Linked DNA regions of Coturnix japonica. Each later gene encodes a partner of the first gene's protein in a complex. Links are inferred from orthologs where the notes say so. Each region holds a gene or a part of one and is shown on either strand. Other genes may lie near its edges.

Evidence for each region. Proteins that work in one complex are often made in the same cells at the same time.
Region 2: STRN (region 1) and STK25 share a complex: the UniProt entries of both Homo sapiens proteins name them as parts of the core of STRIPAK complex. The link is inferred for Coturnix japonica from reciprocal best matches to the Homo sapiens genes STRN and STK25.

Annotation. Positions count from the first base shown.
Region 1 is NC_029518.1:28,841,903-28,845,887, forward strand, and holds the start of STRN (striatin), read left to right. Parts: upstream 1-1,176; 5' UTR 1,177-1,265; coding exon 1,266-1,550; intron 1,551-3,985. UniProt on the Homo sapiens protein: Calmodulin-binding scaffolding protein which is the center of the striatin-interacting phosphatase and kinase (STRIPAK) complexes.
Region 2 is NC_029524.1:3,907,271-3,911,482, reverse strand, and holds the start of STK25 (serine/threonine-protein kinase 25), read left to right. Parts: upstream 1-1,403; 5' UTR 1,404-1,533; intron 1,534-1,626; 5' UTR 1,627-1,661; coding exon 1,662-1,691; intron 1,692-4,212. UniProt on the Homo sapiens protein: Oxidant stress-activated serine/threonine kinase that may play a role in the response to environmental stress.

The DNA.
Region 1 (3,985 bases):
AGGTTACCCACCCAGCGCAGTCACATTTCCTCAGGGTGGTTAACAGAGCAACAAGTGTGAGTTCAGAACAGCCAGAAAGAAACAGGAAGCGCTGCTTGAGCAAGCAGGGTTGTGTGGGACCTGCTTCTCTGGGCCGCAGGCTGAGCATGGCCCACAGCATGTCTTGGCCTCACCGCTCTCCTCCTGCATCACTTCTCACGTGGAGATGGTGGTGCTAATGTAGGGTGTGGTAGTGGTGTGTGTCTCTTTAGAAAGCTCTTGTGCTACTGGAGCAGAGCAAACTATCATCTCTGTGTGCCTAATGGTTTGTGACCCCCCAGCCTGTGGTGTCAGCATCAGCCTCAGGAAGTCTAGTTTATCCTTTCAGAAGTGGTCATTTCCAAGAAATGCTGTTGTGCTCTCCTTGTCAGTGTTCTGAGCGGTAGGGAAGGGAAGCTGAAGTGCTGCTGGGATGGACTGGTAGCTTTCAGTGCTCTGGCAGAGCTGTGTGGGTGTGGCACTGAGGAACACAGTTAGTGGGAATGGCAGGGGTAGGTTGATGGTTGGACTAGATAGTCTTAGAGGTCTTTCCCAACCTTAATGATTCTCTAAGTGTAAGGTCCCGTGCTCAGAACATTGCCAAAACAGCAAGGAATTCACCAGCAAGGAACTGAAATGGTAGGATTTGATGGGGGGTTGTGGAGCTGCTGCAGGAAGCAGCCCTCGTTACGTCCCTAAAGTGGGCTGCAAGCGTGCCGAAACCACTGAAGCCAGGCTGTGAGGTGCAGATCTTTTGAATCAAAGGGCCCTGGGCAACCTGATCTAGTAAAGGTGTATGTTTGGTGGCCCTGCCAGGCAGGGGGGTTGGAACTACATGATCCTTGAGGTCGCTTCCAACCCGGGTCATTCTGTGACTCTGTGTGCGCTCACCCCGATCCCCGAGTGTCAGTGCGCGGGGAGGAGCCTCTGCCCGCGGCCTCGGCCCCGCTGTGGCAGCAGGGCGGAGCAGCAGCCCCGCTCCCTGCCGTCCTCTCTCCGCCCGCCCCGCGTGCCGCCGCCCCACTAAACTACGTTTCCCGTAGTGCCGTGCGGTTGGCGGCGCGAAGCTCGCTCTGCCTTGTCCCCTGCGGGCCGCGGTAGCAGCCGGCGGGGGCGGCTGTCAGGCGGTGACGGCGGCGGGCGGGACGCGCCCAGGTTGTGCCGCTGCCGGGACGCGGCTGGGCGCGGCGGCGGCGGCCGGTGTCGGTGTGGGCGGCGCTGCACGGCGCGGCAGACGCGGCCCGGCCATGGACGAGCAAGCGGGGCCCGGCGTTTTTTTCAGCAACAACAACAACAACAACGCGCTCCTGCTGCCGCCGCCGACGGGCGGGCCGGGGCTGGAGCCGGGCGAGGCGGCGGCGGCCGCGGCGGGAGGCGGCGGCGCGGGGGTCTCCTCCGGCGGAGTCGCCGCGCCGGTGTCGGCGTCGCGGGCTCAGTACAGCGTGCCGGGCATCCTGCATTTCCTGCAGCACGAGTGGGGCCGCTTCGAGGCGGAGCGCGCCGAGTGGGAGGCGGAGCGGGCGGAGCTGCAGGTAACGCCGCCACCCCGGCCCCCCTCCCCGCTCCCCAGTGCGCCCCCGGCCCGCGGGGGGTGGGGGGTGGAGCGCCTCCCCCCGGCCCCGGTTCTTCGCCGCCGCCCGGAGGGGCGTGACATGGCGGCGGCCTGCGGGGGGCGGCCGGGTGGGCCGTGGGCGGGAGGAGTCGGCTCCGCGACGCCGGGGCTGAGGGGCGCGTTGCGAGAGCTCCGATAGCGATCTTGTGGTTTAGGGAACTTGTGAAGTGCTGGCCCGCAGCCACCGCGGTCGGGCGCTCCGGGATGCGCGCCTCGTATTAACGCTAATAACAGAGGGTAATAACAGAGGGCGGCGCGGCCTGCACCGCGGTGCTGCTTCGGCTTTGTTCACGAGCAAATCTCGGTTGTAAATCTTAACCGCCCGCAGCGCCGGGAGCCCCTTGTGGGTCCTTCCCAGCGCCGTGCTCGGGGCAGGGAGCGCTTCCTCTTGGGTCTCATTCCCTTCCTCTTCCTTCCTGGCAGTTCTGTTCTTTCTGTTCCTTTCCTTGAAAGTATCGTCTTTGTCGAGAGTCTAAAGTCTGTTTAACGGCAAGAACCGCTTATCTCTTTCGTTGTTATTGTTTCATTTTTCTTCGTTTTCGTTTCAAGTGAGGAGGAAAGTCGGTTCCTTAGCCGTACTTCCAATGACAACATCAGGCAAACCCTCGTGGAGGGGAGTGGTGGCTGCTCCCCGTGTAGGAGTGCAAAGGAAGTGGCCATAAGCACAGGAGAGATGCGGTTTGTGTTTTAGCTTCAGTGATTTGGTGAAAGATTTGCTCGTAACATGGTTAGCGGGCACAGTGGCGGTGGGTTGATGGTTGGACTAGATGATCTTAGTGGTCTTTTCCAACCTTATTATTCTGTGATTCTATATGTTGCTCACAACATCCGGTAAATATGATGTAGAAAGTAACTAGTTCAACTGCACATAATAACAACGTTGCTCGTCGCACCCTAAGGTATTTATGAGACTCCACTGGGTATTTTTTCATTGCTGATAGGAATCTCACAGGGTGCTCTGGAGGAAAACAAGTTCCTTGGGACCAAAGCGATTCTGCCGATGCCCAGCAGCAGCAGAGCTGTATGTGCCCTCAGTGTCCCCCCAGAGGCCATTCCTGCATCCCACCTCCCCAGTGTCCCTCTGGGGAGCAGTGGGTGTCAGAGCTGAGCTAGCATGAGAAGGGGCCAAGCACATGCGTGATGTGCCAAAGTCATGCGCTGTCAGTGGCAGGGCAGGAGCACAACCCCAATACAAGCTGTTTGCTGGAACTCCTTCGACTCTTGCCAAAATGTCTCAATAAAGCTATAATTAGCTGTGACTGGCATCGCCACAAGCTGCAACAGCATTTATCTACTGCAGAGTCATGTTCAGGAAGGTGCAAAATTCTTGACTGTCCCTGCAGACATTGGGTGTGTGACGTCTGCCACGACCGTTCTCAGCCGAATGCTCTTTGATCCGTATGAGAGGTTTGTGTTGTGGCTTCGGCAGCAGCGAGGGGGCTCTGAGCAATGGTACATGCACAGCCCCACAATGAGCAGCATTAATTAAAGGCAGATTCCACGTTCCTCTTGAAGCCCTTCATGGGCCTGGATGCTGTGGATTGTTTAACAGAATAATGGCAGTCAGAGGTCATGCAGTTTCTGTCTCTCGAGATAAAGATGCAGTGCTCTGATTGTACTCCAAGGTCTTCTGGCCAGTGTAAATTAAATGCTAGGCTGTCTGCTCTCTTGGGAGGCCATGTGGCAGAGATCCTGCTTTGTACGGCATTCTCTGTGTGCCATACATTTTATGTGTAGTGCATCTTGCTCCTCAAAGGCAGACTTATGATCTCTGGTTCCTTACCACTGTGATACTTAAGTCCCTCAGATGTTGCTCTGCTTGGCTGCTGCTCTGTGCTCGACGGTTAGTTAAGCTATACTCTTTCTGAAAAAAACACCTTGTAAGTCAATCCTACTGCGATTTCCTGCCTTCCTTTTCTTCCCCTCTGGGCTTCTTTTCCTTTTCTCTTTTTTTTCCCCCTCCCTTTGCAGTTACTTGTGTGGAACTCCACGTGATGCTCAGCACACCTTCCTGTTGTGCTGCAGGCTGCCTGCTCAGGTGCCCCCCACCCTTGCTGCAGTTAAAAACAAACGAGTTGATATGCTGGGAAACTGGTTCTGTTCATACTTGCTGGCCTAGTTGCTGCTTTAACAAAGTTTTTTTTTTCTGCCTGTTTGCCTATTCTACTTATCATTTGCTTTCCCTGGCAAATATCTGTGTTTACTCTGATTTTCTAATTATTTTTCTTTAATCTTTAAAAATGGTTCTTGCCTCTGTTATATAATCTTCCCCATTCAGAGGCCTTCAATATTTATATCTCCGTGAGTACCATCAGCAAGCTGCATGTTTTGAGGCAGACTGAAAGCAGTCGCACA
Region 2 (4,212 bases), on another chromosome or scaffold:
GGTAGGGAGTGAAAGCAGGATGCCACGCTGTTGATTCCAGCAGAGCACTTTGTTCTATTTCAAAGACTAGACGTGCTAATTTCCATAGCTGTGCTGTGGCTCCAGACAAGGCTGTCTCTCTGAGTGCTCAGTGAGTGCCAGCTCTATCCCCAGGTGCTGGCTGATGTGCAGCTCACCCTCATCACCGGCTCCTGTCATTCACCCTGTTTAAGCAGGGGCACCCTGGGGTCTCCTGTTATCAGGGCAGTGAGAAGAGACCAGCTGGGAAGGCAAAGTATCCCTGCAGATCCATCAGCTGTATCCATTCCTGCCTAAGCAGAGCACAGACGTCTGCGAGGGTTTAAGATTCAGCTTCATCAGCTGTTTTCTGCTGCTGCACAGGAACATGGTTTGGAAGAACAAGCGCTCTGTGCTCTCAGCTTGGAAGGAGCCTGGCTTAATTTGAGGATTAGTCACTGGGAGGGAAAAGATGCTGAGCCAACCCAGGAGTCAGCTCCACACGGAGCTTCACAGCTGCAAGAGCCACTCCTGCTTATTCCACTTCAGCAGCAGAATTGGGAGATAAAGGCCCTTTTCTTTGCTGAACACTCAAAAGAGTCTTAAGAGCCATGATATCAGCAGGGAAAGAGAGTCTCGCAACACTGAGCCTTGTAGTTATAGTCTGCAGGCAGGAACAAGAGTGCTGGAGCTCTAGCAGCCTGATGCAGCTTCTATACACCTAAAGGCTCTGGAAGGGGAACCATAGGAGCAAATGGGCTTCTGCAGCACTCAGTGTGTTCTTTTTGGCAGGGACAGGTTCCCTTTAAAGCTGATCCTTGTAGGAGATGCAAGGACAAGGTTTAAGGCCCGGAGCAGCTTATGGCTGCCATCACACAGCGGTGACTTCATGCCTACCAGGTGGAGTGCAGCCCATCAGCCCAATGCCTTGCACCGAAGGGACGAGCACTTCGGTTTGGAGCTCTGTCTCCCACTACTGTGGGCAGCTCATCGCACGGCTGTGCTCAATGCTCCAGCTGCCATTGGGGCCGAGCTGTTACCGTGCATCCCCACGGGGCCGCGCGGGGCTCAGCGCTGCGATCCGCGGTTGCCACCTGGTGGCAGCGACAAAACAACCCAAAGCGGGTCCGTGTTCATAGACCCACCCGGCAGCCCTGACCGCTCCCGGAGGCGGCCATTAGCCGGGCAGGGCCGTTCATTATGGCTTACCCTAAAGGCAGCCGTCACAAGCACCGACCCCCATCACCGACCCCTATCGCCGCTCCCCGACACCCGCCGCACGTGGGAGCTGTAGCCCGCACCTCCCCTTCCCTCGGCCCCTCCTTCCGCCCCGCGCACAGCCCGCCGGGACATGCAGTCCGTAGGGGCGGCCCCATTGTATCTCTGGGCGGGGCTAGAACTACATCTCCCAGCAGGCATCGCGGCGCGGCCTCCCCTCCCGCTTCCTCCCGGCGGCGCGGCCGAGCTCGGTGTCCCGGGGCGGCTGTTGTCGGCATGGCGGCGCACGGCGCTGCGCGGGGGGAACCAGGGCCGTAGGTGGGGGCTGGGGGAAGGGGGGACAACAAGGGGCGGAGCGGGGATGGCGGGGCGAGACGGGACCGGGCAGAGCCGCCGTGTTGTCTCCCGCAGCTGAACGCCGAGGAGCGCGGCCCCACGGATCCAGCATGGCGCACCTGAGGGACTTCGGCAGCCAGGTAAGGGCCGCCCCGTGCACAGCTCCCATCTCCCCGCTGCACATCGATCCCCGCTTTGTTTGCTGCTGGCTGCTGCCCACGGCCTTCATATGGGGCCGCTCTGCTGCACGGCAAACCGCAATGGACACCGGGCTCTGTAGCCTCAGTGCTGCCGGTCGGTGTCACCGTCGTAAGGTCTCCTCCATCCCGTGTGATGCCGTGTGAGGCCTCAGGGGCTGTAGGTACATCCCGCTGTTGTGATGGCACGAGGTGATGTCATGACTCAGGGCTAAAAGCTGGAGCACAGAATGGTATCAGCTCGGATCGGCTTTCTTCTGGGCTTGGCTGTGGGTATGTGTGATGGTTGGCAGGTGTCAGTGCATTGTGCTGATCCCTAGGGAGAAATCTGGGTGCTTTTCTTTATATAGAGTCATAGAGGAGACACTTGATGGCCATCTGCTCTAACACCCTGCACCGAGCAGGGACACATACAGCTCCATCAGGTGCTCAGAGCCCCGTCCATCCTGACCTTGGGTGTTTGCAGACATGGGGCACCACCACCAATCTGGGCAACCTGTGCCAACGCTTCACCACCCCTACTGTAAAAAACTTCATTATCAATATCCAGCTTGAGTCTTTCCTCTTAGTTTGGGACCGCTTTCCCTCATCCTATCACAGCAGGCAGAGTCTGTGTCCTTCCTTCTTACAGCCCTGCTTCAGGTACTGAAAGGCCACTCTCAGGTCCCCCCAGAGCCATAGCATCACAGAATGGCCTGGGTTAAAAAGGACCATAATGATCATCCAGTTTCAACCTCCCTTCCACAGGCAGAGTCACCAACCACCAGACCAGGCTGACCAGAGTATTTTATGCTTCTAGGTGTACTTCAGTGGTTTGAGGTGATGCTTCCTCCAAACCTTTCCTGGTTTAAAATTGATTTGCAGTGCATCTTTGCTTTGCATGCTGCCTTTCACACACACCGTTTCCTCAAAGTACTGGTGGAATTGAATGCAAATTTAGTGCCTGAATGAGTCACGCTGCAGGGAGAGAAACGAAGGAATGAAGAAGGATACTGCCTGCTCAAGGCAGGGAGCTGAGCTCTGTTGGTGCAGTGTCTTGCTCTGAGTAGAGCTTTGTTTTTAGGCAGCATTCAATAATAGAAGCTATCAAAGTTCTGGTTATCTAATCTGTACATTAGGCAGATGTCAGGTGTTTTATCAGAGTTTGTCATACTGTGATAACTCCAGTGCTAAAATAGGAAAGCAGTATGTGTTATCTATCCCTTCCTTGAGTCTCTTCTGGAATCCTCGGTGGCACCTCATAATCTGTTTAATTGAGGCTTCTTGGAAGAGCAGCAGGAATTGGCCTGAAGTTCTGTGTAGCAATTAGATCGGTGCAATGGGAAAGGCATTACATCAAATGTGTGATGATGATGGAAGGGCTGGCACAACAGAGAGGTGCTACAAAGGAAAGAAAGAAGATTGCTCACCTGGATCAGAAGAGTCTCAGTTTGCAGAGGAAAGCTTCACCAAGGAGAGACCTCCAGAAAAAGATCCTTCCCCAGAGGCAGTCAGCCCTTAAATGGGGTCTAAGAGAGATGCAGCCAGGCTGTACCCCTTCTAGTCTCACTGCTGCATTGCCTTCACCTGTGCATCCAGGGCTGGCCAGGTCCTTTGCCCAGGTGCTCAATCAATGGTTCAGGCTGGGACTCGACAGTTTCCATACATTCTGTTAGCCAAGTTTTAAGCAGTGGTGAGGAGGTGCTGTAAAAATAAAGAGACATACGACTTGGATTGGAATGTAAGGGCCTTCACTTGTCTCTGGTTCCTTATCTATTGCCCATGTGCCGGATTACCTTAGGCAGATCCCTAAGCTGCTTTATCTCAGTGCCTCTGCCTAGGCCAGCTAGGTACTCTCTTCTCTTGGTTGACCTTTGCTGTGTACATACAGCACAGTGGGCCTTTGTTGGGTGCTCTACCCTCTCGATGATGTATTTGCACTGCAGTCTTTAAAGCTCTGAATCCAGCTGTGTTCCCAGTTCTGTTGTTCCTGTAGGCAGCCTTGTTCTTGTCATGGTCTGTCTCCTCTACCACCCTTGCCTGAGCTGCTTTGTTCCTCAGAAAGCATGATACAGCTACCTCAAAGTATAGACGCTTCTTCAGGAAGCTGCCTGTGATGACAGAGCCTGCAACACAAACTGCTGGCTGTCCCAAAAGCTGCCTGCAGCAGCCAGTGCTCTTCTGTTTGATGTCCCATTGGAGAGTTACATCCCCAATTCCTTGATGTGCTGCACAGGGCTGAGAAGGAAGCAGTAGCTCATACCTTGTCCTTTCTTTTCTCATAGAAAAATGATCCAGGTAGGAGGACAGGGGGGTTTCCTTGCAGGCTTGCTGCCCAGAGATGGTTCTTTTTCTCTCCTTAGTGGCTGTTGGGATGAGTGGTGTTTCTCCAGCACTGCAGGTGAGGCCTGGGCCACTTTGCTGCCCCATCCTGCTGAAGTGGCCAACAGGTGGGAACTGCATGTAGCCAGGCTGTTCATTCTGT